4 linked regions of the Tamandua tetradactyla genome follow. The protein of the gene in region 2 binds, or shares a complex with, the protein of the main gene of each other region. Links are inferred from orthologs where the notes say so. Each region holds a gene or a part of one and is shown on either strand. Other genes may lie near its edges.

Region 1 (7,514 bases), on a different chromosome or scaffold from region 2:
TTGTATTGGAAAATCTGGGAGGTACTGTTAAAATTACTAAGAATTACCAATTTAACATAATTAGACTTGTGCTAAGCCCTCTTTTAAGTATCCTGGAGGAAAGACTGGCCATTAGTTGATATTTGCATTGAGTCTTGTAAGTTATATTTGAGTGATTTAGTTTAACCTGAGAAATGATGGTTTTTGAATTCTTATTCTTGTTTTAGCAAAGCTGATGAATTCAAACCTTAACAGAATAAGCAGTGAATATTGATATGAGATTTCCTCCTGAGTTTTATTGTTGTGTTCACTGAATTAGTTGACAAAGGGGGACAAAACCTGTTGGTCAAGTGTGTGCATGTTACCTTCTATCAAGTTTCTGCTGATCACAATTGCCTAACAGGAAGTTTGTCTTTGTAGGCAAATGAGGCAGACCAGGAAGACCTGGTAATCCAGTAGGATATCTCTAGCCTATAGTGTATTATTGTTCTTTAACAAAACTCAAAGATTGCAGAGTTCTGTGATGTCAGCAGGAAGTTTTTTAGGAAATTCCCTTTCAGGGTTAGTCAACAATGAAAACCTTAACAGAATGGAAAACTGTGAAGTAGTAACAGTGGACACTAACATGAAAAATTGAAAGAAAAGTTTTATTGTGAGATGTGCAAATGTAAGTGTAATGAATGTAGAGAACCATTTTCTAATAGCCTCCGATGCAGTTGAAAAAGAAAAATCAAGTGAGGGCTGTACTCTTAAGAAAAAGGAACTTGAGTATTTATTTATTTAGGGTTAAATTGAGATCATTTAACTGTCTTGGGAACCAGTAATAAAATATCTTTTGTTCTGTGAAATGACACTCCTAGTCGGATATCTATTAATTTTTGTGTGTCTCTAGCTTAAGGCCTACCACATATTAGCTATTCCATAAGTGTTTATTTGAAGTGAAGGTTGAAAATTAGAGCCACTAGTACAGGAAAAGGGCCTAAGGATTTAAGAGGTCCAGATGTGGGTCCATTAGTTAAGTTGTTGCATTTTATTATAACTTGTTTTGCATTTTGGCTGTAAGAGAAAGTTAGCCATTGAAAAGTAGAATATTGCTTTAGCAGTTAAGTAGTAGACACAGCTCACTTGCTACTTTTGGCAAAATTGGGTTTACTCTTAGGCGCCAGAGTAATAGCACTTAATGGGAAAATCTTGAGCACTCATTATTTGCTTGAGATTTTACTTACATGATTGCTGAAGTTGCGGGTGTTTAAATATTACCATCTAGTTGTTGTGGTAAGGTCAATCATCATAGGCTGGTATTTTAGTCACTTCAGTTGCTTTACCTACAACATGAAAAACCAGAGAGCATCTTTAGTCATTGCCTATGTATTACCAAATTTTGGAATTTAAAAATTACCCAGTTGGTTTCAGTTGTATTTTAGATTGTCATGGACACAATCTTTGTTGTTAAATACAAAGAGTACTTAAGTATCATTGCAGTGTGTTTCATTGTAACGTTAGTATTGTAGACCTTAGAATTGCATGGCTCTTTGTTAGTGAAGTACTTTAAGCCAGATGTACAAAGTTAGCTCTTTAAGAATGGCTGAACTTTTCAGTTGTGTTGTAGTTCAGCCAGGTTGAAATAGGTACTTCAGTAGGTATTTTTGTAGTTCTCCATTCCAATGTTGATTAACCTGGGACCTTTCAGAGAAAAGCTTGGTTTTTTTTTTTCTGACCCAGGAATCATGCGTGCCTTTTCTGACTTGATTCTTGAGTTTGGAGGTAGTAGTGATCTGTGAAAAGGGCTTTTTGGGCTCCTCTACCACCTCGTAGATGTGGGACTTTGAGCAAGCTATTTTTTGCCTTCTATTTTCTTTTGAGAATTAATAGGAGTAGTGGATGTAAAGGGCCTGGTTAATTAGTATTTTAGTAGTCTTCAGTAAAGGTAGACATTATTATAATTATTGCCGGGCATTTTGGCCGTAGTGTGTAATAGAGGAAGTAGCAAATTAATGTGTAAATAAGTTCACAGTCTTTTTATATAAAATTTTCCAATTTATATGTCTGTTGAATGCTTTTTTTCCTTTTCCTTACTGTTTAGAATTTTACGAATTATAAAATTTGGCATGGCAGAAAATGTGGATTTATTGTGGACTGTGTTTATGTATTTAAAGGTGTCTCCTAGTAAAATTAGTGTTTTTTATTATTTTCCCTGGTTTACCTAGTGACTGGCTATTGTAGGGGATTGGCCTTTATTGAATCTGAAGTTCTCTCGAGTATTATATCAGGTGTTTCAAGATGTCCTATATTTCATCTCAGGGGAGAGGATTTGGATAGTATGTAGAAGTGAAGTTTTGTATGTAGCAAACTAAAAGATTTCATTAAGTATTTCTTGTTAGGTGTTTATTTAAATAGCATAAATATCTCTTTTGGTAGACTTTTGAGTACTCCCATATTAATTTTGGCTGACAAACTATTTTTGAAATAGTGGAGGAGTTTTCTTAGGAAATGGAAAAGGAAGTTCATTGTAGGTAAATGGTCTGGGACAGTTTATATGGATGGTAGGGTAAGTTTTTAGCTTCTCTCATTTGGAAATTGCATGTTATTTATTATGAGTAAATGTTAATATTAGGGATGTTTCATTCTTTGCTGTGCAGGTTTTCCTGTCCTCTCAACATAGAGGTGAGGAATATGAACACAGAACTTTTATGCCAAGTGGTTGACTCAGGGATTGTAACTTCTTTTCTGTGCCTCAGATCCACCATTCCTCAGACCCTTCCATTTCTTGGTGGCTGTCCTTTGCCGCTGGTGCCATGGTGGGTGTATGGATTGCTTTCTGTCTTTCAACAGTTGCCGAAGTGCATGTTTGGGATTTTGTTGAAGAAAGCTGGATACAGTAAACGGAAAGAATCTTGGAAGATGCTTGACTGCTGTCTTTTCTCAGACTAGTCTGAAAGGGAATACACCCATTCATTCTGGATTGGTGGATCTGAAGTACAAAATATTTTCCAGGTAAGCATTTACCCTGTACCGTAATGCTTGTGGAACTTAGCTCACTGAGAAGAAACTTAAAAGTTCTTTTCTTTTCCGTTAATAGGGAAAGGAAAAAATCTTAGATATTTGTGCCTAGTGTTCATGTTTGGGTGTGGAGTTGTGAAGGTGTACGTGGCAGATTTGCTGGTACACACTTTGTTTCAGTGTAGGAGTAAAGTTATTTTTTATAGTAGGCTCAAATGGTTTATAGACATAGTCTAATAGGGGATACAGTAAAATGGATATTTTATTTGGGAAATATCTTATAAAATATGGAAAACATCTTGTAATTTTGAGGCACTATCGCACATTATTTATAGTTGATATCTGGCCAAAATTTATAGTTGCTATCTGATCAAGACTACTAGCATATAGAGTAGTAGGCTTTTATTCTTAGGACTCTTAGAGGGTCTTTTCAGAAAGATTTACTGATGGTATGTCGCACCCATTTATTGAACATCTGCTATGTGCTAGACACTGTTGTAGGCCCTTTACATGTATTTCATATTTAATTGGCAAAATGCTTTACCTGCATTTTAGAGATGAGTGAAATGAATCTCATAAGCGTTAAGTTGCCCAGGGCCGTACATTTGAGTAAAGTTTTAAGCTTGGGTCTGTGTTTTCCTAATGCTCCATACTTTCCATTTTACTACCTATGCTGAAGTTTGTATTTGATCTTCTGGATTTTCAAATTGCCAATCTGCAAGAGCAATATGCAGTTACCTAAAATAGTTTCCACTTGAAGAACACATGCTAGGCCATTGTTTGGCATGGGGTTGACATGGTATAATGTCTGGTGCTCTGCTTAAAATGAAAAATCAGAAGATCTTCAGTCAGTTCATCAAGTGAACATGGAGGTAACTTTGGGAGCACAGGGGAGGTAATGCGTTTGGGTGTCAGTACATGGGAAGTATAATTTGGTGTAGTGAACTTGAACTTGTGTCTTTCAGTTCCTCCTTTGTATTTATTGGTTATTTTAATAGCATAGTAGCTCATTTTGTAGACTTCTTTTGACTTGTGGTTTGCTAGCCTTACTGGTAAGACTTCCTGGCAACTCTTCCTTGAAAACATGACTTTTCCTTGCTATTTAATAATCTTTCCATTTCACCCCCTTCCTTTAATCTTAATTATTTTTTACTTCTTAAATTTTATATCATAGACTAACATTCTGACTTTGTATCCTTGCTTTAACTTAATTCCTTAATATTTGCTAATATTTCTCCTAGTTGAGCATTTTTCATCTGGAGTACTGTCAAAGTGGTGGTAGTGGCAATAGTAGTAGTAGTAGTAGTAGTAGTAGTAAACGATTAAACACCTAATACTTATTGGGCACTTAATCTACCGAATACTATTCTAGGCATTTTATAGGTATAAACTGATTTTATCCTTATAGTAACATGGTGTGATAGGTACTGTTTTTTTCCCACTTTATAGATGAGGAAACTGAAAGATAGATTAGTGAAATAATATGCTTCACGGTCACATATCTAGTAACGGACAATGACGAAATATGAACCAGGCAATCTGGATTCACAGAATGTACTTCTACCCTCTGTGCTATACTGCCTCTAGTTTAGAGTATCATCCAGTAATAGAGGGGCAGAAATTCTGAAGACTTACTATATATTTGGATTTCAAGAAATCAAGGGAAAGGGAATAATTGTTGAATATTTATTTCTTACTTTATTTAGAAAACAAATAGTCTACTTCTCAGGGAGCCATCCAGGGCTATCTATCAGATTGTTTCCCAAGAGGACTCACAGGACTTGTTTAAGGTTATCTTCCAAAACAGTGCTGTCCAATAGAGCTTTCTGTGATGATAGAAATGTGCAGAATTTGCTCTGTTCAATTTGGTAGCCACTAGCCATAGTTACCTACTTTGAAATGTGGCTCCAGGACTGAGGAGTTGAATTTTTAATTTTACTTAATTTAAATAGTCACATGTGATTAGTGGCTAACATATTATAGAGTGCAGTTTTAGAATGTACCATTATCCAAGGTCTGGCCTTGGTTTAGCCCCTTTTGAAATCTGATTTGGTCACTATGGTAAAAGCAGCTCCTTATCTCCCAGGGTTGGACTCACAGTAACTATGCTTACAAGGCTTATATGTAAAACCATAGTGCCAGTTTGTTAATTTGCAGTGATTTATGCCCTGTTGGTATGATTAGTATATTGTTAGCTGATAGGCATATTTGCTTACTAGGTCCTAATTTAAATGCCAGTTTATTAGTATTATTTTTAAAATAAGAAATAGGAGTCAGAGGGGCCTGAATAGTAAAGCCAAATGAATGGACACTTTCTTCGTGTAGGTAGACTTTACCCATCGGGTCAGATTATAAACAGGTGGCTTGGTTAGCATGGACTCAACCAGAAAAGTGAGATATGTGATGGACTGAGACTGAGATCCAAATGGGTGGTTTTTCCCTATGGCAAGACCTCTTCCTTCAGCTTCTCTGCTTGCTTTTGTTTTCCAAATCCCTTTTAGATTAAGGCATTCTTTTTTAAGATGCTTCAGTACAGTGAGCTAGAATGCAGTCTTGACTTGAAGGTCTGGGTGTTCTTTTGATTTCCTCAAGGTGCCTTTATCAGTCCTGTGATCTATTATGTTTTTATTTTCAACTTTAAGAAGGCAGTAGTATTTTTCTTGCTTCCTTGTAGCCTTTTTCTACTGAAAACACATGCATTAGAATCTTTAATTTGGTCACACATATTATCTGCATTTTATCATGTTATTAAAAGGAACTTGTTTTTAGTTTACATTACTTTGGGACTTGTTCTTGCTCCTGTTCTCTCCCCCCCATTTATTTATTTATTTATTTATGTTTTAAATGTTTTTTTGTTGTATTGTATAACATATACAAAGCAAAGAAATAAAAGAGCAATAGTTTTCAAAGCACTCTTTAAAACGTGATTACAGGATAGATCCCAGAGTTTGTCATGGGCTACCATACGGTCCTCTCATATTTTTCCTTCTAGCTGCTGCGGAATATAGGAGGCTAGAGGGTTTAAATACTTTTTTTTTTGTCATCACAATTGACTTTTTTTCCTTCTTTTTTTGTGACCAATAACATATATGCAAAAAAGCTATAAATTTCAAAGCACAGCACCCCAATTAGCTGTAGAATATATTTCAGACTTTGACATGGGTTACAATTTCACAATTTTAGGTTTTTACTTCTAGTTGCTCTAAAATACTGGAGATAAAAGAGATATCAATTTGATGATTCAACATTCATATTCATTTAAGTCCTATCTTCTATGTATAATTCCACCATCACCTTTGATCTTTCCATACCTCTCATTGTGGTTGTTTGGGTTATGGCAATTCTAAATTTTTGATATTGATAGGGTCTGCCACGAATATGGGGTAGGAAGATGAAACTATCTGATGTTCTGGAGAGGCTGGGCTAGGTTTCAGGACTTACCTGGACTAGGGACCCATCTGGAGGTTATAGGTTTCTGTCAGGTTTCTCTAGTGCCTGGAACCCTTGAGGAATCTTATATATTGCCCTAGGTGTTCTTTAGGATTGGCAGGTTATGATAGATAATAAGGTCTACCGGAAGCTTGTGTAAGAGCAACCTCCCAGAGTAGCCTCTCGACTATTTGAGAGAGGCTGTATTTGAACTCTCTCTGCCACTGATACTTTATTAATTACACTTCATTTCCCCCATTTGGTCAGGATGGAATTGTTGATCCCACAGTGCCAGGTCTGGATTCATCCCTGGGAGTCCTCTCCCATGTCACCAGGGAGACTTTCACCCCTGGATGTCATGTCCCATGTAGGGGGGAGGGCAGTGATTTCACTTGCAGAGTTGGGCTTTGCTCCTGTTCTTGATATAGAAAGAGTGACATAAGCAAATCCGTAGTTTAGGAAGGTAGCTTTGGTGGATGTGTACAGTATGAATTGAAGTGATGGAAGGCAGAAAGACCAGTTAGTTCAAGCGAGCAGTGATGAAGATGCACCAAGATATTGACAGTAGGGATGCTGGGAGGGGATGTGTGTGGGGGTGGGTTTAAAAGAGATATAGGTGGTAGTATTTATGAGTTTAGGGATTGGTTAGAGGAGTGGGAGAGGGAAGAATCTAAGAATTTTAGGTTTTGGCTATGGACACTTGGATGGATGTTTGTTCTCTTTTCCCAGTCTTAGTTTCCTAGCTGCTAAAAACAAATATCGTATAATGGTTTGATTTAAATAATGGGAATTTATTGCCTCAGGGTTTTAAGGCTAGGAGAAGTCCAGAATCTAGTTATCAAGAAGGTGATGCTTTCTTTGAACCTATACTCTGGCTTCCTATTAATGTTTTCTTTTTAACCATTTACTTATTTATTTATTTTTACATGGGCAGGCACTGGGAATCAAACCCAGGTCCTCGGGCTTAGCAGGCAAGCATTCTTACCTGCTGAGCCACCGTGGCCCACCCGAAGGTGATGCTTTCTTGCTAAGGACTATGGTGTTCTGGAGCTGGCTACTGACGACGATCCTTGGGTCCTTGCCTTTCCCATTGCATGGCAGTGCAC
Region 2 (7,016 bases):
CCATACCCCTTACCCCTCCCTCTCATTGACCACTAGTATTTCCATCTACCCAATATATTTTAACCTCTGTTCCCCCATTATTTGTTTATTTTTTATTCATATTTTTTACTCATCTGTCCATATCCTAGATAAAGGGAACATCAGACACAGGTTCTCACAATCACACAGTCACAGTGTAAATGTTCTATCTTTATACAATCATCTTCAAGAAACAAGGCTACTGGAGAACAGCTCTACAGTTTCAGGTACTTCCCTTTAGCCCCTCAAATACACCATAACCTGAAAAGGGATATCTATATAATGCATAAGAATAACCTCCAAGATAACCTCTCAACTCTGTTTGAAATCTCTCAGGCAGGGTGGGCAATGGTGGCTCAGTGGCAGAGTTCTCACCTGACATGCCAGAGACCCAGGTTCGATTCCCGATGCCTGCCCATGTAAAAAAAAAAAAAAAAAGAAACCTCTCAGCCACTGACAATTTATGTTGTCTCATTTTTCTCTTCACCCTTTCAGTTGAGAAATTTTTCTCAATCCCTTGATGCTGAGTCCCAGCTCATTCTAGGATTTCTGTCCCACGTTGCCAGGGAGGTTTACACCCCTGGTAGTTATGTCCCATGTAGAGAGGGGGAGGGCAGTGAGTTCACTTGCCATGTTGGCTGAGAGAGAGAGGCCGCACTTGAGCAACAAAAGAGGTTCTCTGGGGATGACTCTTAGGCCCAATTTTAAGTAGGCTTAGCCTATCCTTTGTGGGGATAAGTTTCATAGGAATAAACCCCAAGATTGAGGGCTCGGTCTATTGCTTTGGTTGTCCCCACTACTTGCAAGAAGTTATACATGCAAAATATGTCATAAACACTCTGATGGTTAGGTTCATGTGTCAACTTGGCCAGGTGATGGTGCCTAGTTTTCTGGTCAAGCAAGGACTGGCCTATCTGTTGCTGTGAGGACATTTCATGGACTTAATTCATCAGCATGTTGATTGCATCTATGGCTGATAGCAACAGGTGGCTAAGGTGTGTCTTCCAGAAGGACATTTAATTTAATCAGTTGAAGGCTTTAAAGGAGAAGTCAGAACAGAGAATCTCACTTTCCACTTCAGCCAGCCAGCCTCCCGTGGGGAATTCATTGAAGATCTTCATTGGACTTGCCAGCTCGAGGCTTGCCCTACAGAACTTGGACTCATGCAGTCCCACAGTTGCCTGAGACACTTTTATAAAATCTCATATTTATAGATTTCTCCTCTTGGTTCTGCTTCCCTAGAGAACCCTGACTACTACAAGAACTCACAGAGGATATATTATTGTGTATCATTTTGAATCTACTTAGATTGCAACATCCCCAAAGATAGCAGAGACTGTCTTCTCTGGTAGTCTTCAATCTCGGAAATCAAAGAGCAAAAAAATTAAATATGTGCAGTATGGAGAATAAACTGAAGGCAGACACAACAAAGAGAGGCTGATGAAATAACAATAATAGCTAATGCTTGCTGAGTGCTTACTATGTACCAGGCAGAGTTCTAAGTGTTTTATTTACATTAACTCATTTAATCCTCCAAAACTCAATGAGGTTAGGAGCTGGAATGGGACAAGGGAGCGTCTGGAATTTTTGCAATCTTCTTTTTCTTGATTTGGATGCTGATTGCAGAGGTGTATATACTTTGTAAAAATTTATTGAGGTGTACATTTTGATCCCTGTACTTATTTTTTTACTTTCAATAAAAATCACACACACAAAAACTTCTAAGGGATTTTTTCCCTATTTTATAGTCAAGACACAGAAAGGTTTAAGTAATTTTCCCAGGGTCAGGTAGTAAGTGGTGGAGCCAGGATTAGAAATCATGCAGATTGGCTATCATGTTTACCACAACATAACAGGGTAATAACCTAGGTAAGAAGTGATGAAGGCCTAAAGTGGAGGCGGGAAAATCCACTCATCAATAAACACATGGAATGATGGGGCCAAATTCAAGACACTTCAGAATTTGGTGGTGAAGTGGATTTGGGAGGTAAGAGTGGGATAGCAAAAGCTGTAAGTGAGGTTTGTAGTTGCATATCTGGATAGTTTCATGTGTGATGCCATAACCTGAGATGGGGTAAAGGGAGAGAAAGATTTGGGTAGGGGGAAATACATTCATTTTGAGATATGTAGAGATGCCTAGAGGACATCTTGGTGATGTCCTATGAACAGCTGGGAATGCATGCCTGGGGCTCAGTAGGAACCATCAGCTTATGGCTGATAATTGAAGGGCTAGAGGAATGAGTTCAAGCCAGCAGAGCATGCAGAATAAAAGCTGAAGGTGAAACACTGGTATATATGTCCACCTTCATTCATTAAGTATGTAATGCCCCCTTGTGGGTAAGGCCTAAATGTGTACACACCCAAGAAGATAAACAGACGAGGAAGAATCATCACTTGGCAGAGGAGACATTAAAGACATAAATAAAACAAAAAGGGGGGAAATGCCATTAAAAAGACATTTAGAGGTAGAATCCAGGATAACTCCCTGAGGTGACATTTTATTTGGTGAATTGTTCCTTAAAGGATAGGTAGGATCTTTACAGGCCCTGATCAGTAAGTCAGAAATGAAAGACAAAGACCAGGAACCATCAGTGGTGTTTGGAGATAAACTTGTAACGTAATTTGGCACTAGGTTTGGGAAGAGGAGATGAGGTGAGAGAAGAGGATGGAGGCCATAGAGCCAAAGCCCTTGAAGGCCTTACTGAGGATTGGTTTGGAATTCCTTTGGAAGCCATACTAGAAAAGGAATTTTTTCTTTTATCTAACTCCACACCTAATCTTTTATCAGATTATTTTTGGTGTGTATTTATTTATTTAAAATATTTTTATTGACATCTTCACACACATACAGTTCATACATGGCATAAAATCAGTGGCTCACAATATCTTCATACAGTTGTGTATTCATCACCATGATCATTTTTTAGACATTTGCATCACTCCAGAAAAAGAAATAAAAAGAAAAAACCCATACATCCCATCCCCCTTACCCCTCCCTCTCACTGACCACTACTAATTCCATCTACCCAATTTATTTTACCCCTTACCCCCCCATTATTTATTTATTTTTAATAATATTTTTTTACTCATCTGTTCATACCCGGACAAAAGCATCAGGCACAAGGCTTTCATAATCGCACAGTCACATCGTAAAAGTTATGCGTTTTACAATCCTCTTCAAGAATCAAGACTACTGGAACACAGCTCTACAGTTTCAGGTACTTACCTCCTGCAACTCCAATACACCATAAACTAAAAAGGGATATCTATATAATGCATAAGAATAACCTCCAGGGTAACCTCCCGACTTATCATACATTTCACAACTAAGTCTGGCCTTACATGGCTTTTGGTTGTTAGTAAAGCTTACATCCACTCTTCAAGGGTTCAGATTTTCCACCACGAAACGACACTGAAAATAATTCTCTACAGCCTACACCGGGGTTACCTACCTCCTCTAAAGGGGCTGATATTTTCAGGGATGGCAAATGAGATTTCTGAGCCTGCAAGACGACGGGAGAGCTTGATTTCTTCAATGTACTGTCATAAGTTTACTAGGCGAAGCATCCCGAGAGGTCCTCACCAGGGAATCCTCCGCTCCCACAGCCAGAAGCAAAACGAGTCCCGCCTGCCCAGAAAAAGAACGGTGGAATTTTCAGCAGTGGAAACGAATGGAGAGCTCACCTTGGTCAATACTTTCCTTTACACTGGATCAAACTGAGTACATTACATTCAAAGCCCAAGGAAGGTTGGAGTCAAAATCGGGACTCCAACCCAGACCTCTGCTTCTGGGCTTACGGATCCTTTCTGCCTTCCTTACCGAAAGACATGGACGAGCCCCGGTTCTCCCTTGAGACCGCCAACGAGACACTCTGGGGAGGAAGGATTAGCCGAGGCGCTGGCGGGTCAGGGGCCAGGAACCCCCTTCTGCCTGGATCCTAAAACAGAGCCTCGCCGTAAACAGGCTTACCCGGAGACAGATTGGCGGAGGGCGGGGATTGGGCGCCGCCGCGGCCGGACTTCCGGAAGTTAAGGATTTGTTTCGGAGGAGGCGATCTTTCCAGACGCACCGAAGACCCTACCGTGAGTCCTCCCTGCGTCGGCGCAGGCGGGAGGGTAGGTCTGAGGGTGCGGGAGCAGGGGAGCCCGATACAACTTGGAGCAGCTCTGTTTTTCAGAGGAGGCCGCTTGTTGGCTCCCTCATCCAGTGTTGGGGTACCTGCCGCCGCCAGGCCCCCGAAGCGCACCCGAAAGCGCTCCTACCTTTCATTAGCTTACGTTCTAGGGAGAAGAAATAAAACAAAGTGCGAAATTCTTTAAAGTTGGGGTGTGGGCTAAGAAGGGGCTCGTGTAATTAAGAACCCAGTTCCGGACTCTGGGCACTATGGGGAAAGGACTCAAAGCGAGTTTGAAGGCAGGGAGGAGTGAGTCTAGCAAGAGGCGAGGGAAGACCGAGAGTCCGGAGAAAGCGTGGTGGCTTGAAGCTGAGAAGGCCCGTGCGGCTGTAGCGTCAGGGTCGTGGCCAGGGGAGAGGTTTGCTTGGAAGCAAAGTGGCGGGTCGGGTCTATGTTATAGAGTGTGGAGCACCGTGACGTAAACTTGGGAATTTGACACGGGAGTAGCAGAACGACAAGATTTGAATTCGCTTTGAAAGCGTACTTTGACTGCCGGACGCAGGTTGGATTATAAGAAGAGACCATTCTTGGGAAGGTACTGCTTGCAGATGAGAGAAGGAAACCAAGAGTGGGTGACAGTGGACGGATTAAAATTGATACATAAGAGCTAAAATTGGCAGAACTTTATGGAGTAGATATGGGACTTATTGACAACGAGGTGGCCAACGATGATTCTGTTTCTGGTCTAAATTACTGAATTACGGTAAATAAGGTCAGACTATTTTGCGATTTCCGAAGGGTTCTTTTTCCCCCTGGTGTAAAAACAAAAACCACAGAACGTTTTTAACCCTCTGATTCCATGTACTCATTATATTTTATATGTTCACTGTAGAAAATTCGGAACATAAATGGTTTCTTCTATATAGAGGAGAGTAAATGCCACCTATAATTCCAGTACCCAACATGGCCATCTTTTGGTGTGTTTCCTTCGTGTGTTTTTTTTTTTCCTGCGTGTATCTTTTCGTTTTGTATGGTGGAGACCACATTGATTGTATGTTTCAATACCCAGGTTGTTTTTTGCTTTTTATTGTAAAATACACATAACATAAAAAACATTGTAACCGTTTTTAAGAGCACAATTCTGTGACATTAAGTACATTGGCAATATTGTGTTAACACCAATATTTCCAGAATATTTTCATCATTCTAAACAGAAACTCATAGCTTTTAAGCAATAACTCTCCCTTTCCCTCTTACCTCACCCTGGTAATCACTATTCTGTCTCAGAATGTGCTTCTTCTAAGTATGTCAAATAAGAGAAATTTAATTTTTGTCCTCTGGTGTCTGGCGTATTTCAGTTGACATAATGTCTTCAAAATTCGTCCATGTTGTACCATGTATCACACATTTCTTTTTATAGTTGAATAATATTCCATTATATGGATAGACACCATTTTGTTTATCCATTCTTCTGTTAGTGAACTCTTAGGTTATTTCTACCTATTGGCATCCTGCTATGATATTGGTGTTCTTTTATCTGTTTCAGTGCCTGTTTTCAATTCTTTTGGATAGACCTAGAAGTAGAATTGCTGGGTTATATGATAATTCTATGTTTAACTTTCTGGGGAACTTCCAAACTGTTTTCCACAGCAGCTGGACCATTTTACAATCCTATCAAGAACAGGAAACAGGGAGGGCCACGATGGCTCAGCAGGCAAGGGCGCTTGCCTGCCATGCCAGAGGACCCGGGTTCGATTCCCGGTGCCTGCCCATGTTAAAAAAAAAAAAAATTGGCTGTGAAAGAACGGGAAACAATCCTGCTACAGCAACACGTTATTTTTTAAATAAGAGCCATCCTTGTTGGTGTGAAGTAGAATCTCATTGTAGTTTTGATGTACATTTCCTTAATAGTTAATGATGTTGAGTATCTTTTCATATTCTTATTAGGCATTTGTATATATTTGGAGAAATGTCTATTCAAATTCTTTGCCCAATTTTTTCTTAACTGAGCTGTTTGCCTTTTTATTGTTGAGTTGTAAGAGTTCTTTATATATTTTGGATATTAAACCCTTATAAAGCAATGAAAAGTATCAGTCATCAGAGACCCCTGACTTTCCTCTGCTTAAGGTGTAGCTAGAGACCTGTGGCTTGCAACAAAAAAACAAATGGGATGCTGGCCATCATACTGCATTTAGAAGAATCCCTAACTGCCCAGTATTAAAGTTAATGTACTGATATTAGTCCTGTTGGGCATAATAAGCTTCACATTCTGTTTTCATTAGAAACAAGCCAGAGGAGCTTTTTTATTCTAAACAGGGCTTCTTAAGATTGTGAAATGCAGATTATGATCAGCAGGTCTGATTGGAGCCCTGGCAATGCTGGTCTGGAACACACACTGAGTTTCAAGGGACTGAACTGGACTAACTGACAGAACAAAAGCAAGATGAACTTTCCTCCCCCTCAGAAGTTACTTTTCCAGTTCAATATCTCAGCCACTCATCTGAAAACTGGAGGAGCTGAACGAAGGAGATGGATGGGGAGGTGGGAAGAGAATGTTCCAGGCAAAGAGAACAGCATGTGCAAAGGCCTTAGGAGAAGGAGAACATAGGTTATTAAAGCAACCAGAAGAAGCCTGGGTAATGGATGCCAGGAGATTCATTCTACTCTTCTACTTTTGTATATGCTAGGCTTTTTCTGTAATAAAGATGATATCAAAGAAAAACGGGAGGAACATAAGCACCAAACCATGAATGCCCTCACACAGCGTACCCCTCACTTGTCTGTGTGCCTGTCTCCCCCACCATCCCCAAGGCTTTTTAGGGTAAGAGTGTGCCTTATTCATCAGTAAGGTGTCAGTACCAAAAAATGCATTTAATAAGTGTG
Region 3 (7,248 bases), on a different chromosome or scaffold from region 2:
CATATTGTCTCTGTGTGGTCCTACCAAAACTGTCCATTCAGACCCCTTTGTTTGCCTTTGCAAACGTCCGAAATTGTCAAGTCTCAGCTTCCAAAAGTCCTAGTTCCATTTACAGGACATATATGTGATGACTCTTTAATGGAAATTTTGATAATAAGGTCTAGATTGTATGTAGGTATGAAGGGAATTTTTAAAATACAACAAAAATTAAGCTACAAACAGCATTAGAACTTTGTCTATTTTTAAATTTTAAAATATGCTGATATGCCTTAAACTAGCTATAGATCATTGTCATTTTGCTGTTTGAAAATAGCCGATATGTTTTCTAAAACTTGTGTAATCTACTTTCAATGTTAATGCAGAATTATCATATATGTAAGCTGCATGTTAGACCACTTGTTTTTTTTAAGAAAACTAAAATAATTGTATTGATGTGAGGCATATCACTTTTTCAAGTATGAAAGTAATCACTCAGCAACCATGCTTGGCAATTTGGTGTCTGTTAAGATAGGAGAGTAATGGACAGGTAATCTATGCATATATCAACAGTGCCAAGACATCAAGAGGGGGGAATATATTTTTACCCAAACATTAAAACAAAAAAACAAGAGTCCCTGGGGGTCAATATATCCTAAAGTAATTCTGGCAGAGAATAAAAAGAAAATTTTGCAAACTCCTCTTGGGGGACTGGGGAGAAAGGAGAAAATATTATACTTTCCCATCTGGGGAATTCCTGATATTCTCACAAGCAGTGGGGACAACCAATTCAACAGGCTGAGCCCTCAATCTTGGGGCTTGGCCCTATGAAGCATATTCCTGCAAAGGACAAGCTAAGCCTACTGAGAATTATGCTGAAAAATCATCCCAAGAGAGCCTCTATTGTTGCTCTGATGTGGCCTCTCTCTCTCTAAGTCAACTTGGCAGATGAACCCACTATCCTGCCCTCTACGTGACTCCCAGGGGTGTAAATCTCCCTGGCAAAGTGGGACAGAGCTCCCAGGATGAGCTGGGACCTGGCTTCATGGGACTGAGAAAGCCTTGTTGACCAAAACAGGGAAGAGAGAACTGAGACAAAGTTTCCACGGCTAAGCAATTTCAAACAGAGTTGAGAGGTTATCCTGGAGGTTATTCTTATGAGTTATATAGACATCCCTTTTTAGTTTATGGTGCATTGGAGTAGCTAGAGGGAAGTACCTGAAAGTGTTGAATTGTGTTCCGGTAGTCTTGATTTTTTTTTCCAATTTATTTACATATTGATGTAATGGTATACAGCAGAGTTGAATAGTTGTGATAGAGAATACACAGCCCACGAAGCCTAAATTATTTACTATCTAGACTTTACAGAAAAAAATTGCTGACCCATTATAGAGTTCTCTTCATAACCCTATATGAGGATTTCACTATGACATATTTACAGAAGCTGAATTGCTGACTTATAAGGTGAGAGAATTTGCAACTTTTCCCCTATGTAGCCCAATTGGCCTCCAGTTGATTATTCCAATTGACACTACCACAAGCAATGTATGAGAATTATTGTCGATTTACTCACTAACACTTGATATTATCATACTCTTAAATTTTTGCCAATCTGCTTGGTGTGAAATGGCATCTTTTTTGAAATATTTTTATTGAGAAATTTTCACACGCATACATTCCATATATGGTGTACAATCAATGGCTCACAATATCATCACATAGTTTTGTACTCATCACCATAATCATTTTTTAGAACATTTGCATCACTCTAGAAAAAGAAAAATAAAGTCATCATACCATACCCCTTACCCCTCCTTCTCATTGACCACTAGTATCTCCAACTACCCAATTTATTGTACCCTTTGTACCCTCTATTATTTATTTTTATCCATATTTTTTTTTACTCATCTGCCCATACCCTGGATAAAAGGAGCATCACACACAAGGTTTTTGCAATCACAGAGTCCCATTGTAAAAGTTATATCTTTATACAGTCATCTTCAAGAATCAAGGCTACTGGAATACAGCTCAAGTTTCAAGTACTTCCCTCCAGCCACTCCAATACACCACAAACTAAGAAAGGGTTATCTATATAATGCATAAGAATAGCCGCCAGGATAACCTCTTGGCTCTGTTTGAAATCTCTCAGCATCTGAAGCACTTCCCAAAATATAAATTTTGCACTAAATAAACATCTCTCCCTTTAGTCTCACACAGAAGTTGAAGTTTTAACATATGGCTGATATCATCCTTTACCCTGTATTCTGAGTTACCTTAGTCCTAACAAGATCAGCTCAAAGTCTGGTCACTTTTTCAACTTTTTAAACAGTTCTTGCGTGGGGTACTGCAAGTAGCCTTGATTCCTGAAGACGATTGTATAACCATATAGCCTTTACCATGTGACCATGTGATTGTGAAAAACTTGTATTTGATGCTCCTTTTATCTAGGGTATGGACAGATGAGTTAAAAAAAGGATAATAAATAATAGGGGGGGATAGAGGGTAAAAAATGGGTGGATTGAAATACTGGAGATCAGTGAGAGGGAGGGGTAAGAGGTATGGAATGTATGAATTCTTTTTTTTTTTCCTTCTTTATTTCTTTTTCTGGAGTGGCGTAAATGTTCTAAAAATGATCATGGTGAAGAATACACAACTATGTGATGATATTGTGAGCCACTGATTGTATAATATAATTGGACTGTACGTGTGGATATTTCTCAATAAAAATATTTTTTAAATAAAAATTAAATTACATTTTTAAAAAAGAGTGCCTGGGGGGATTGTATTAGATTAGTGAGCACGAAGGCTGCTCAGAGGTGACACTGAAGCTGATATCCTAAGGACAAGGAGCCAGCCATGGGACAGTTTGGAGACAATTTTCCAAACAGAAGTGTAAGGGCAAGGGGCAGTGTGTTCATTTGCAAGCTGCCAGAATGCAATATGCCAGAACTGGAATGACTTTTAAAAAGGGGAATTTAATGCGTTGCAAGTTTAAGAAAGTGAAAGTATCCAAATTCAGGCAACAACAAGAGGTTACCCTCACTCAAGAAAGGCCAATGAGTCAGGAACAGCTCTGTCAGCTGGGAAGTCACATGGCTGGCATCTGCTGGTCCCTTGCTCCTGAGCTCCTGTTGCTTTCAGCCTCTGTTCCTGTGGGGTTTCCTCACTTTGCTTCTCTGGGGCTGGCTTTCATCTCTTGGCTTCCCTTGGCTCTCTCCAGGTTCTGGCTTGCTTCACATCTCATGGTGATGTCTGCTGGACTCCAAGCATCTCCTAACATCTATATGTCTGCCCACCACGTTTCTGCATCTGTGTCACCTCTGCTGGCAAATTTCTGTTGGCTCTGAGGCTTCCATCTTTCTTGCTCTCTCTCTCTCCAAAATGTTTCCTCTTTTAAAGGATTCCAGTAAACTAATCTAGACAGAACTGGAACAGATGGAGTCACATTTCCCTCTATTCAAAAGTCATCCCCAGAACTGGATGTGTCCCATCTCTGTGGAGATAATCTAATCCAATATTACCAACTACAGTTTTGAATCAGGATTAAAAGAAACTGCTGCTCCCACAAGACTGAATCAGGAATAAAATATGGCTTTTCTGGGGTACATAATATTTTCAATCCGGCACGGGCAGGAACAGGTCAACCTCCGTCAGGGTCAGAGCAAGGGCCCAGGAGGCTGCGGAGACTTTAGGAGTAGGCAAGTAGGGAAAGAGGCTGGAGAAGGAGCTGGGAGTCACATCACCTTGGACTTTTATAAGCCCCATCAAAGGGTTTGGATTTGATTCCTAGGGCAATGGGAAATCGTTTTAGGGTTTTAAGCAGGGATATGACAGGATGTGATTCACATTAAAAAGTAAAACCTCATTCTACTGTGCGGAGAATAGGAGGTAGGACCAACAAGGGAAGAGATGGCGACTGGCACTGGCATCTCTCAGTGGGGAGGAGACGAGTGGGCTGATTGCAGATCTATTTTTTAGAGAGATCCAACGGGATATGCCAATACAGCTTGGCTGCAGGTCCTTCGTTTTGATCGCAAGGAGGAAAACAGAAAACTACCACTTACAATCACCATTGGAAAGTTCTTGTCAGTCTAAGTATTCTGTCACTCTGTCATAGAAGCTAACTGTAAAAAAAATTGGGAGGCCAAAAATCACGAAAAGCAAACTAAAATCACCCATAAATCCCATCAGGCTGCGAAAATGGCTGTTCACACTTTGCTGTAGTTTTCCAGGTTTCTACGCGGATATATGGTCATTTGCTACACTGGGATTATATTGATGCTTGCTCTGCCTTCCGCTTTTGACTTCGGGGTATCAGCCAGATGCCCGCGACCACCACTTCAGCTCAGGCCCCTGGGCAGGCCTCACGTCCCCGCGGCCCTCTCGACCACCCATCTCGTCGGTTCGCTGGCCCCCTTTAAGGCCCCCTGTGGTGTCCCCACATACTTCGGCGACGGGGACGGGATGCACGACGTCAACCTCTGGGGGGGACCCACCGGACAGCCCCCCACACATCGCGCCATCCGCGCCACGCAAAGCCCCGCAGGGCAGCCGCACCCGGGCTGAGAGCGCGGCCCGACCCCGGCCCGGCGCCGGGCAGGAGCCTGTCTGCGCAGGCGCCCAGAGATGATGTCACGGGGCAGGGGGCGGGGCCTGGCGCTGGAGCCGCAGCATGAGGCGCAGGGGGAGGGGGAGAGGGAGGGGGAGGCGGCGGCGGCGGCGGGCGACCATGCAGGCGGAAGACGCAGGCGCAAGTGGCCCCGGGGGCCGCGAGGGCGCGGGCTCCTCGGGGGGCCGCCCGGTCGGTGACGCGTCTCGGGTCGCGCGGACACCGCACGCCCCAGGGCCGGGTGGAGACGCCACGCCCGCGGTCACCGGGCCGGGAAGCCCAGTACACCGATTGTATCCTAGCCGACGGGGCGGGCCTGGGATGGGGATGGGGCGTGAGCGGCAGGGACGGCACGGGGTCCTGGGGGGTGGGTGACGGGGGGAAGGACAGGGGGGCGGGAGGCGGGGAGAAGGGAAGGAGAGCAGGGGTTTAACGCGGGAGGCGACGGAAAGGGGAGCCTGGGGTAGGGGGGGAGGACGGCGAAACGGGGGGGAGGGATCGAAAAGGGGAGCCGCTTGGGTCGGTGGACGCCGGGGGAGTTGGGGCCCCAGGGGAGGAGGGGAAGGCCTGAGGCGGGTGGGGGCGGGAGAAGCAGGCTCAATCGGGGTGAACTAATGGGGTGACCGGGCCGGGCGCCAGTTCTGGCCTTGAGCGGCAGGAGGCGAGGCGCAGGCTAAGTCAGTGGAGGATGGTGCCTTAACCGGATCCCCTGCCAGCTCCCTCAGTGTCCCTTTCCCGTCCCGCAGGGAGGCGGAGATCGCCTGCGGCTCCCTGGCCCCGGATGCCGAACCCCACCGGGAGGCGATTGAGAAGCAGCTCACTGTGGCTGGCAGCGCCCTGGCCGTGTCAGTTCTAGAAGGGGCGCGGGTGGGAGCTGCTCCTTAGGGCCAGTCCCTGCCTTGGGGTGCTGTAATGGGGTCAGAGAGATCCCCTCAGGGGAAGTCTGAGGAAGGGGGCGTGGCGCAGTGGGCCTGTCCCCACCTGAGGGGGTGCTCTGATGGAGCCACTAAATGGTCAGGTGGCAGGGGGTCTGAGGGTGCCGGGTGGAAGGTGAAGTTGCCACCTTGAACTGGACTTGCCTTTTCCATCCCTCACAGCCAGTGGACTGCCGGTGACCCCCGCCTCCTCCGAATTTCCATCCTGAACTTTCTGGACCAGCTTTCCCTGGTGGTGCGGACAATGCAGCGCTTCGGGCCCCCCGTTTCACGCTAGGCCTGGGGCCTGACCTGGTGTCCCCTCCTGGGCAGTATGCCCTTCCCCCCGGGGCCTTGATTCCTAGAGTAGTTGCCACTTTACCATAAGGGCCTGATTTGGGGGGCATACTGGCCCTAGGATGCTGGGGTCCCACTTGGTTTATTTGGTGCTTAAATGTTTTCACCAACAGAAAATAAAAACAAGCTACTCTTTCCTGTCACAACAGTATTTTTTTTCAGCTGCTGAACCTGCAGATTTTCATGCCTTTGGTCTGGGATTGCAACGAGGGAAGGGTCTGCGATGCAGATATTCAAGTATAATTTTTGGCCAAGTCTAGTGTTAAATTTATTTTCCTGATTTTTTTTTTTTCATTTAACGTGAACTTTTCTGCTTCCTAAAAATCCTGCGAAAACCTGTTCTGTGTATCAAAGAAGTATTTTAATGAAATTGTTGCCCACTTAAATCATTTCCAATTTTCCCTATGATATGTAACGATTCAGTAGGATGCTTATATATGAGTTTTTGCATGAATAGTTATTTCCTTACGATAGATTAAAAAAAAAAAAAACCCAGGAGGTAGAATTACTGAGTTAAATATTTTCTATTTATGGTACAAAATTGTTGTCAAGAAATTGTGCCCTTCTGGTTTCTCCACATCCTTTGTCACCAGAAGTCTGCTTAATGCCAAAATAAAATACTTAGTTCGTATGAGAAGAGCAAACAGCCCAGAAACACTAAATTAGGATTTTTTTGTGGCTTACTGGCCTTGCTTCAGATCAGTGAAGAAAAGTGTTAGGACAATTCCTTAAGGGTTGGGGGAAGGAGCTCAGATCCCTCTAAAATACCTGCATTCTACAACCTTGCTAAATACACTTAATAATTTTAGTGGCTCTTTTGTAGATTTCATAGGATTTTCTACATAAGCAATCACATTTTCCTTCAATAAAGGCATTTTTACTCCCTTTCCAATCCAGATGTCTTTTGTTGATTGATGTCTTTCCTCATTGAGGCTTGGCGTTTCCTGCTTCTTTGCATGCCTAGTAATTTTGGATTGGATGCCAAACATCATGTATTTTACCTTGGGTGCTGGATATTTTTGCATTTCTAAACGTATTCCATGAACTTTTTTCTGGGATGCCAAGGTGCTTGGAAAAAGTTTTAACCTTTCCATTCCTGCTTGTAGATTTGCTCGGTGGTACGAGAGCTGCTTTTAGGGAAAGTGATGGTGAAAATGATGATGAATCTCACCTGAGTGTGGCAGGTGTAGTTGCTACAGTGAGGATATGATTCTCTCCTTCTCTCTCTCCACCTCTTCCTTTTTTAATTCATCATTTTTAGATATTAGCCATTGATGGACAGATGCCGATTAAGCTTTTTGACTCCACCATCTGCTCTGCTTCCTCTCAATGTGGTTGTGGTTCTATTACATTCTATCCATTTCTTAGGATTTCTTTTTTCCCTAAGATTAA
Region 4 (7,638 bases), on a different chromosome or scaffold from region 2:
CGTTGCCCTCACTGCAGGAAAGTGTAAGTGATTAGAAAGTGGCATTATTTAGCTGGTAATAGGATAATGTGTGAAATAAAAACTGTGGAGTCATCACAAGTATCTGTTCCTGTTTGTCTCCCTTTAGGTCTTCTATTGGGCGGAGATATCCACGAAAGAGATGTATCTGCTGCTTCTTGCTTGGCTTACTCTTGGCAGTCACTGCCACTGGCCTTGCTGTGAGTAATCATGACCCAGCCTCTTTCATTCTTCCTGGTTATCTCTTCCTCAGCCTCTTCTCCTAAGATTTGAGAAATGGCACCCCAAAAAAAGGTTCAAGAAACTGAGGAGTTTTTGTTTGTTTTTTTTCTAACACATATAGGAGCTGAAGTTGAAGGCAACTGATATAGTCTTCACTGTTACTATAGAAGTAAAAAAGTTAAAAGAAAAGCAAAAACATTCTCTCTCTGCAGAGGACAGAAAAATGAAGAAGTGACTTGAATTAAGAGTTGCTATTAGGAAATCTGGCTCAATCGTGAGACATTAAGAAAAACTGATAGATGTCTGTTTGAGATGGTATATGAGTATGTTCCTGCTTAGAAGGGGCTGAGCAGCCTAACCTTTAAAAAGGTCCCCAAGGTATTGAGAAAAACCCTAGAATGAGCTGAGACTCAGCATCAAGGGATTGAGAAAACATTCTCGACCAAAAGGGGGGGAAGAGTGAAATGAGACAAAGTATCAATGGCTAAAAGATTTCACACAGATTCAAGAGGTTATCCTTAAGTAGATATCACCTTGTTATTCAAGATGTAATGGAGAGGCTGGAGGGAACTGCCTGAAAATGTAGAGCTGTGTTCCAGTAGCCATGTGTCTTGATGATTGTATAACGATATAGCTTTCACAATGTGACTGTGTGATTGTGAAAACCTTGTGTCTGATGCTCCTTTTATCTATCTTGTCAACAGACCAGAAGAACATATGGAATAAAAATAAATAATAGGGGGGAAAAGAAAAGGTCCCCAAGGGTGGTTGGTTATGTGTGGATAGGAAATGAGATATGAAGTTTGAGTTTTTGTGTCACTGTTTTTAGGGCTCTTCAGGAAGTAGTGGGAACTCAGTACTAACCTCATCTTTTTTCTTATCTTCATCAGTTTGGCACGTGGAAGCATGCACAACGATATGGAGGTATCTATGCAGGCTGGGCCTTTGTCATCCTGCTGGCTGTGCTGTGTTTGGGCCGGGCTCTCTATTGGGCCTGCATGAAGGTCAGCCACCCTGTCCAGAACTTCTCCTGAGCCCCATGATGACCCACAGACTGTCTGGCCCCTCCCTGGTGGGGACAGTGACACTACAAAGGGAGCTGGGGGTAAAAGGCTCCCTGGGCTTCCATTAAGTGGAGCCAAGCAGCTGCCTTCCTTTTCCCAGGGGAGAGGTAGGAAGGAACCAGGCCCTCACTTAGGTTTGGAGGGATAGATTAGACCGCTGCTGGCCATCTGCTCTCCAAGGGTTGCTGTGTTTAGGGTGAAGTAGGTGAAATGTTGCCCCTAAACCTGGAATATGACGGTTCTAGCCTTATCCTTCCTATGTGCTCCCTGAGAGCCATTCCTGTCCCTTACACATTCCAGGGCAGGGTGGGGGTGGGTAGCGCTGGGGGTTTCCCTCCCTCTTGTGCACCATTAGGACCTTGCTGCTGCTATTGCACTTCACCAGGGGCTGGCTCTGGCCTCAGTACGCTCAGTCTCCTCTCCCCACATTCCATGTCCTGTGGGGGTATGGTCAGCCGCTGCTCTGTACTGAACCACGGGAACTGAGGTGTATATAACTATTTAATGTGGGGTATGGTCCCCTAGTCCTGTATTTCCCTTAATTCATCCTTCCAACCTTCTTTACCCTCCAGTTGTAGTATCTAACTGGGCTGGGTAGGATTGCTCTGTCTTGGGGGAGGTTAAGGACTCATCCTGTGCTTGTAAATAAATAAGGTCATGACTCCACTCCTCTCCAGTTGTTAACTTGCATGTATGAAAAGACAGGGAGAAGGAGAAGTTGTAGCCTTACAAAGGGGTAGAACACAAACACAGCAAGGCTGAAACAATGGCTGTTTATTTTTACTTTGGCTATTTAGTTTTACATGGACAGGTCAAATGGACAGGTCAAAGGGTATATCAGTAACTTGCTTAATGTTAAAAGAACACACACAAAACTAAAACCTTGGGCTTACTCAATCTTGCACTATGAGCCTGGATAGAAGATTCAGATTATTTTAGAAAGGAAGGGAATACAGTGCAGATTTCTCTAGCGAGAAATATTTTTAAAGAAATGCTAGTTTGGAGGACTCGTTTTCCAGGCTGAGTGATTTTAGGAGGAAGTGTCACAGTGCTAGGAATAGCGTGATAGGACAGTGATCACTGCCCAGGGCCTTGGAACGGATCTTGCTGTCACACAATGCAGGTAACAGTGAGTGGGACAACAAAAAGTAATCAAGGCGCCAGCCAACGTTCTTGGATCGAGCATTCATCATGTAGGTCCAAAAAGTGTAAGCATAGGCAGTGTTTGGGTAGAGGTGCCGGAAGCTGTCAGCCAATGGCACAGCCTGCAGCAAATCCCCAAAGCCTTGGCGCTCTTGTGGGGTGAAGCCAGCATTCTTTTTGTTTCCCTTGGGGTTGCGAAGGTCAATCTCTTCATGAGCCACATTGAGGTCCCCACACAGCACGAGAGGCTTGCGGGAGGCTAAGTCCTTTAGGAATTTGCGAAAGGCTTCATCCCAGCGCTGCCGGTATTCCAGCCGCACCAGACCCCGCCCCGCATTGGGTACATAAGCTGTTACCAGCACAAATGCATCAAATTCAGCCACGATCACACGACCTTCCTGATCATGTTCTTCCTCACCTACAGAAATGATGAAACAATTAGAATAAAGTATAAGTAAAGGAAAAGTAGAGAATGAAAGGAATCAAGAGTTAGGGCAGGAGAGAGGTATTAGCAATGGCTTAAAAGCACTCAGATACTAGTGTCTCACCTATGCCATAAGAAACTTTGAGTGGGCACTGGCGGGAAAGTAGACCCACACCACTGTAGCCTTCCTTGTCTGAAGGTGCTGACCAGTACTGATGGGATAATCCAGGCAAGTCCTGAAGTTCAGTGGGTAGTTTGTTCTCTGAACATTTGGTCTCTTGGAGGCACAGGATATCTGGGGCTTCTTCTTTTACCCACTGTGAACCAAAAAAAGGCAGAAAAAGTTTATCGATACAGCAGCCATTTTTGAAAATCTGCATGCTAAGTACTTAGAATTCACAGGTGAGACAGTTCCTTTGTATAGAGTTTGAATAGTTCAGCAGTACAATATTTAAACAACTACAAAATGTTAAATATTATAACAACAGACAACTAAGAAGAGAGAAAATAAGAGAAGGCCTTAGATGTTACACCAAAGACCATGTTTTTTTCTATAGGTTGTACATAGCCAGCTAAGATTTTTAAGACTTAGTTATAGGTATGGAGAATATGCTGGAGACAAAATGGAAGAAGTCTAGTGAAGAGGCTTTTATAAAATTCTGGGGGAGAGATGACATGAAACAAGACAATTGCTGTGGAAATGAGGGAATTTCCACACTGAGGAAACACAAGTGGCAAGACTCTAAAGCCCCCATTATACAACCCCACAATCAAATACAAACAAGGGAAAAATAAAACCTTCACTAAAATGAAAGGTGATTAGATCCCACATCATTTAATACATGAGAATGCTTGTTTCCCTCCCTGAATTCCACTCACATCTAAACCTTTCTTCTTAATCCAGGCTCGAAGCCCATCCACATTCCAAGAGCAGATCTTGATTGTGGCAGGTTTGCCACTAGGTGAGGTTTTCCGATCTGGGGGATCCTCATACAGGGCTGGCCCCTCTCCTGCTGCCTCTTTTTCGCTTTTCTTTGCCCCCGTCTTACTCTTTTTGGTCTCTGGCTCTATAAAATGAGTTATACATAGGGATAAAAGTTGGTGGTTTTCACTTTGATCAGGCCCTCAGAGAGCTTGCAGCTATCGCGATTTCAAATTCACTGGTAAAATATAATGACTTGGTCCGTACTTCCTCTTCATCGAGGACAGCCTACCGCAGCCCCCCGGAGTTGTGTTCTCTTACCCATCTTCGGCACTTCTCCATCTTCTGCCACCGATTCCTTTTTACCACGCTTCGGCATCTCTAAAACGAAAGCCCTTCGGCAAATTACCCACCGAAGCAAGATTTCTACCGCGTTGCCTACAGACACAAAGAAATCGTGTAACCAGCTAAGGATGGTGAAGAAGAGAATTCTCCCGCCGGCGTCCCCGCATCAGACTCCACCTTTCCTAACAACAGTATCTCTGAATCCTTTCCCCGCCTCTCTGCATCACAGGCCCTTCTCCCAGCTCCTCACCTACGGACTAGATAGTTTAATAATACTTAGGCACCTCCTCGCAAGATATGCCCTCCGGTCAATGAAGGACCTTAATTATGAGCCTTGACTCAGACTGGCTGGTCAGACCTCCAGCGAAGACCTTAAAAGCAAAAGAGCGCCCGGGTATCTGACCTGCTCGGGTCACAGCCAGGCTCCTCCTTACCCGAGCACAAAGAATGGAGAACGCTGTGCCCCCACGTGGGTAACTGGCATAGTCACGTTGTCTGAGATTTGCATCACGTGGCCGAGGGATGCGGCTGATTGGCCTGCCTCGCAGCACGTGACGGTGAAGCGCGGCCCGCCCGCCCTTCTCTCCAGAGGACTGAAGGTCCCAACCCTCCATTTTCGGGCTGTTTATTGCTTTGCCAGGTGCACGACTCACTCTGATGCCCTGGCCGAAGATTACAGCGTCGTACAAGAGAAAACGATAAGTGGAGAAGGCTAGGCTGAAAAAAGAGGTGGGGGAATGGATAGGAATGTGCTGAGCAAATTCCGGCTCAGTATTCCTGGCAGTTCGGAGGACAGGGCCTTGGGGGGGCCTTGACGGGTTTCCGTGACGACGGGGTCGAAGGCTGCTTCGGCGGTCCAGTTGGGATTTCTCTGGGCTGTGTTGCGGTGCACAGTGTTTTTAACAGCCGCGCGCGCGTTCTTTTCGTCTCCACTCCGGAATTTGCGGGCCAGCAGGGACGGTTGAGGGGCTCCATAAGTCGCCGGGAACACTGCCAGCATTTCCTCTCAGGCTCAGCCATGCCGGTGGTGCTGGGTTTTGAAGGCAGCGCGAACAAGATTGGCGTGGGAGTGGTGCGGGATGGCACGGTGCTAGCGAACCCGCGACGGACTTACGTCACGCCTCCGGGCACAGGTGAGTGAGTAGGGGGCTTAGAGTTTACCGCGAACTTGCCGCACTACATCGCCTTCCATCTTCACAAACGCCAGTCAGGTGGGGCGCGTTGTCCTTTTCCTACAGCTTTTGATCTGAGGCTCATTGGGATTATGTGACAGTCTTAAAATACCAGGATGGTGGGTGAAAAAGAGACACAGGCACTCGGACCTGGATCTTCTGACTTTGTCAGCGTTTATTGAGCGCTTTTTATGTGCTCAGCATTAGCTGGCTCCTGGATAGATGTCATAATTCTGATTAGTCTGACGTAAAACTGAATGTTTACATTACAGCATTATAAATGGTAAAATACAGACGCAATAAAATTCTAGAATTGGAGAGGAGATGAGTGGAAAGACTTCCAACTTAAGTGTCAGACAGAACTGACTGGCTTTATGATACTTATGTTCAGTGTTCATGTTCTTGGAATTCTATTCCTTCCTCTTATGGGAATAATACCTGTATCTTTGGGTCTTGAGAATTAAATGAATGAAAGTGCCTGATACATTTTAACTTTTCATAAATATTCTTTGCAAACTATTCTCAGATCTCACTTACCATCCCCCAGTTCACCTTCACATATGTTTGTAGCTGAAAAGCTTTGCTGAAAGATGGTGCAACAGATTACTCGTTAGAAATTTATTTATTTATGTCTAGGACTCATTGTTGGAGGCACTTGGGCACTGGAAATACAAAGTTGATAAAATAGCTGAATATTTGAGATACTTAGGGTTATTTGGGGGAAACTGCAAATAAGGATGATGCTCTAATTGGTGTGTTAAAATACAGTGTGTTAAATGCAGTTGTGTAATCATGTATAGGGTTCTGTAGCATCACAGAGGGACATCACCAAACTTTATGGGGTAGGTAAATTTGCAGTGAGTCCTGAAAGCTGAGGAGGAGTTCTCTGAAGAAAGGCATTTCCAGGAGCTGAGCAGCCTACATAAAGGCTGGAATCTGTGAAAGAGTATGTCTGAAATCCTAGAAGATGGATGGTTAAGGAATATGAAAGGGACACTTTCTATTAATTCCTACATGAATACAACTTCTTTTTTGTAGTTCTGCCTACCTTTGCTACAGTAAAAACACCCTATGATCTCTGACCTAGTTTTCATCTCTTAGGATTCCTCCCAGGTGATACTGCCAGACATCACCGAGCCGTTGTCTTGGACCTGCTGCAGGAGGCATTAACGGAAGCCAGATTAACCTCCCAGGATATTGACTGTGTTGCCTACACTAAGGGTATGAATGAGAGAGTAGCTAACCATGGAAGACCATACATGGAGCCTGGCTAGATAAAACAGCCTGTACCTCGCTTCTACTGTCACCACCCCTACCCTACCTCTTACATCCCATATTCCCACCACCCCTATTTATCCCAATCTCTATAGGATTTTAACACCCATTTCTACTTCCCTAGGTCCAGGCATGGGTGCCCCCCTGGCTTCTGTGGCAGTTGTTGCCCGTACTGTGGCCCAGCTGTGGAATAAGCCATTGCTGGGTGTGAACCACTGTATAGGCCACATTGAGATGGGCCGCCTCATCACTGGAGCCACCAGCCCAACTGTACTCTATGTCAGTGGAGGAAATACCCAGGTGTTTAGAGCATTCTATCCATTCTTATTTCTAAGGTACCATACCAACAACTTCCAAGTTCTACCTAAGTAGTGAGAACTGCAAGAACAAAGCTCAGGTCATCTGAATCTAAGATGTTGTATACCAAAAAACCCATGGTAGAGTTTATGACGTTGCAGATTTGGTCAGGACAATCAGAACACTAGATAACTTTTCAATATGTAAATATTAATAATCTCCAGTGAGTAAAAGGAAGGAGGTAAGGAATGATGCCTTCAAAATAATGAAAGGAATTTTGTAAATTTGAACTTTATTCTTTTTATAAATTTTAGCAATTAAAACAAAGGGGTAAAAAAAAACAAAGGGGCACAACTCTTTTTATAGGTTAATTGAATGTTTTGCTTTGTATTATTGGTAAATACATAAAATTTGTTATTCTAAGAGTGTGGAAATATTAATAACTTTTGAAAGCATTTTACTGTCTGTTCTCTGATATATTATGTGAAATAACTAGAATGTGCAAATTCGTAGAGACAGAAGAATGATGATGGGGCCCCAAGGGTGGGTTTGGGATTGGGGAGTTAATACTGAATGGATATAGAGTTTCTGTTTGGGGTGATGGAAGAATTTTTTTTTTTTTTTTTTTTTAAGGGAAACATTTTTTTTTTAAACATTTTCTTGTTTTATTATATTTTGTTTGTTTGTTTGTTTTTTACATGGGCTGGGGCCGGGAATCGAACCGGGGTCCTCCGGCACGGCAGGCAAGCACTCTTG

What was found.
Region 1: TPRKB (region 2) and GON7 share a complex: the UniProt entries of both Homo sapiens proteins name them as parts of the EKC/KEOPS complex. The link is inferred for Tamandua tetradactyla from reciprocal best matches to the Homo sapiens genes TPRKB and GON7.
Region 3: TPRKB (region 2) and LAGE3 share a complex: the UniProt entries of both Homo sapiens proteins name them as parts of the EKC/KEOPS complex. The link is inferred for Tamandua tetradactyla from reciprocal best matches to the Homo sapiens genes TPRKB and LAGE3.
Region 4: TPRKB (region 2) and OSGEP share a complex: the UniProt entries of both Homo sapiens proteins name them as parts of the EKC/KEOPS complex. The link is inferred for Tamandua tetradactyla from reciprocal best matches to the Homo sapiens genes TPRKB and OSGEP.

Annotation. Positions count from the first base shown.
Region 1 is NC_135346.1:53,342,486-53,349,999, reverse strand, and holds the start of GON7 (EKC/KEOPS complex subunit GON7), read left to right. Parts: upstream 1-4,494; coding exon 4,495-4,513; intron 4,514-7,514. UniProt on the Homo sapiens protein: Component of the EKC/KEOPS complex that is required for the formation of a threonylcarbamoyl group on adenosine at position 37 (t(6)A37) in tRNAs that read codons beginning with adenine.
Region 2 is NC_135343.1:47,395,032-47,402,047, reverse strand, and holds the start of TPRKB (EKC/KEOPS complex subunit TPRKB), read left to right. Parts: upstream 1-4,011; 5' UTR 4,012-4,101; exon of another isoform or gene 4,102-4,134; intron 4,135-7,016. UniProt on the Homo sapiens protein: Component of the EKC/KEOPS complex that is required for the formation of a threonylcarbamoyl group on adenosine at position 37 (t(6)A37) in tRNAs that read codons beginning with adenine.
Region 3 is NC_135353.1:6,783,748-6,790,995, reverse strand, and holds LAGE3 (EKC/KEOPS complex subunit LAGE3), read left to right. Parts: upstream 1-4,705; coding exon 4,706-4,878; intron 4,879-5,301; coding exon 5,302-5,430; intron 5,431-5,682; coding exon 5,683-5,797; 3' UTR 5,798-6,748; downstream 6,749-7,248. UniProt on the Homo sapiens protein: Component of the EKC/KEOPS complex that is required for the formation of a threonylcarbamoyl group on adenosine at position 37 (t(6)A37) in tRNAs that read codons beginning with adenine.
Region 4 is NC_135340.1:36,231,843-36,239,480, forward strand, and holds the start of OSGEP (tRNA N6-adenosine threonylcarbamoyltransferase), read left to right. Parts: upstream 1-4,625; 5' UTR 4,626-4,867; exon of another isoform or gene 4,868-5,148; 5' UTR 5,149-5,156; coding exon 5,157-5,271; intron 5,272-6,411; coding exon 6,412-6,531; intron 6,532-6,709; coding exon 6,710-6,885; intron 6,886-7,638. Other genes in the region: PIP4P1 (type 1 phosphatidylinositol 4,5-bisphosphate 4-phosphatase), read left to right, coding at 1-23, 128-218, 1,131-1,274; DNA repair nuclease/redox regulator APEX1, read right to left, coding at 2,348-2,865, 2,996-3,188, 3,751-3,938, 4,115-4,172. UniProt on the Homo sapiens protein: Component of the EKC/KEOPS complex that is required for the formation of a threonylcarbamoyl group on adenosine at position 37 (t(6)A37) in tRNAs that read codons beginning with adenine.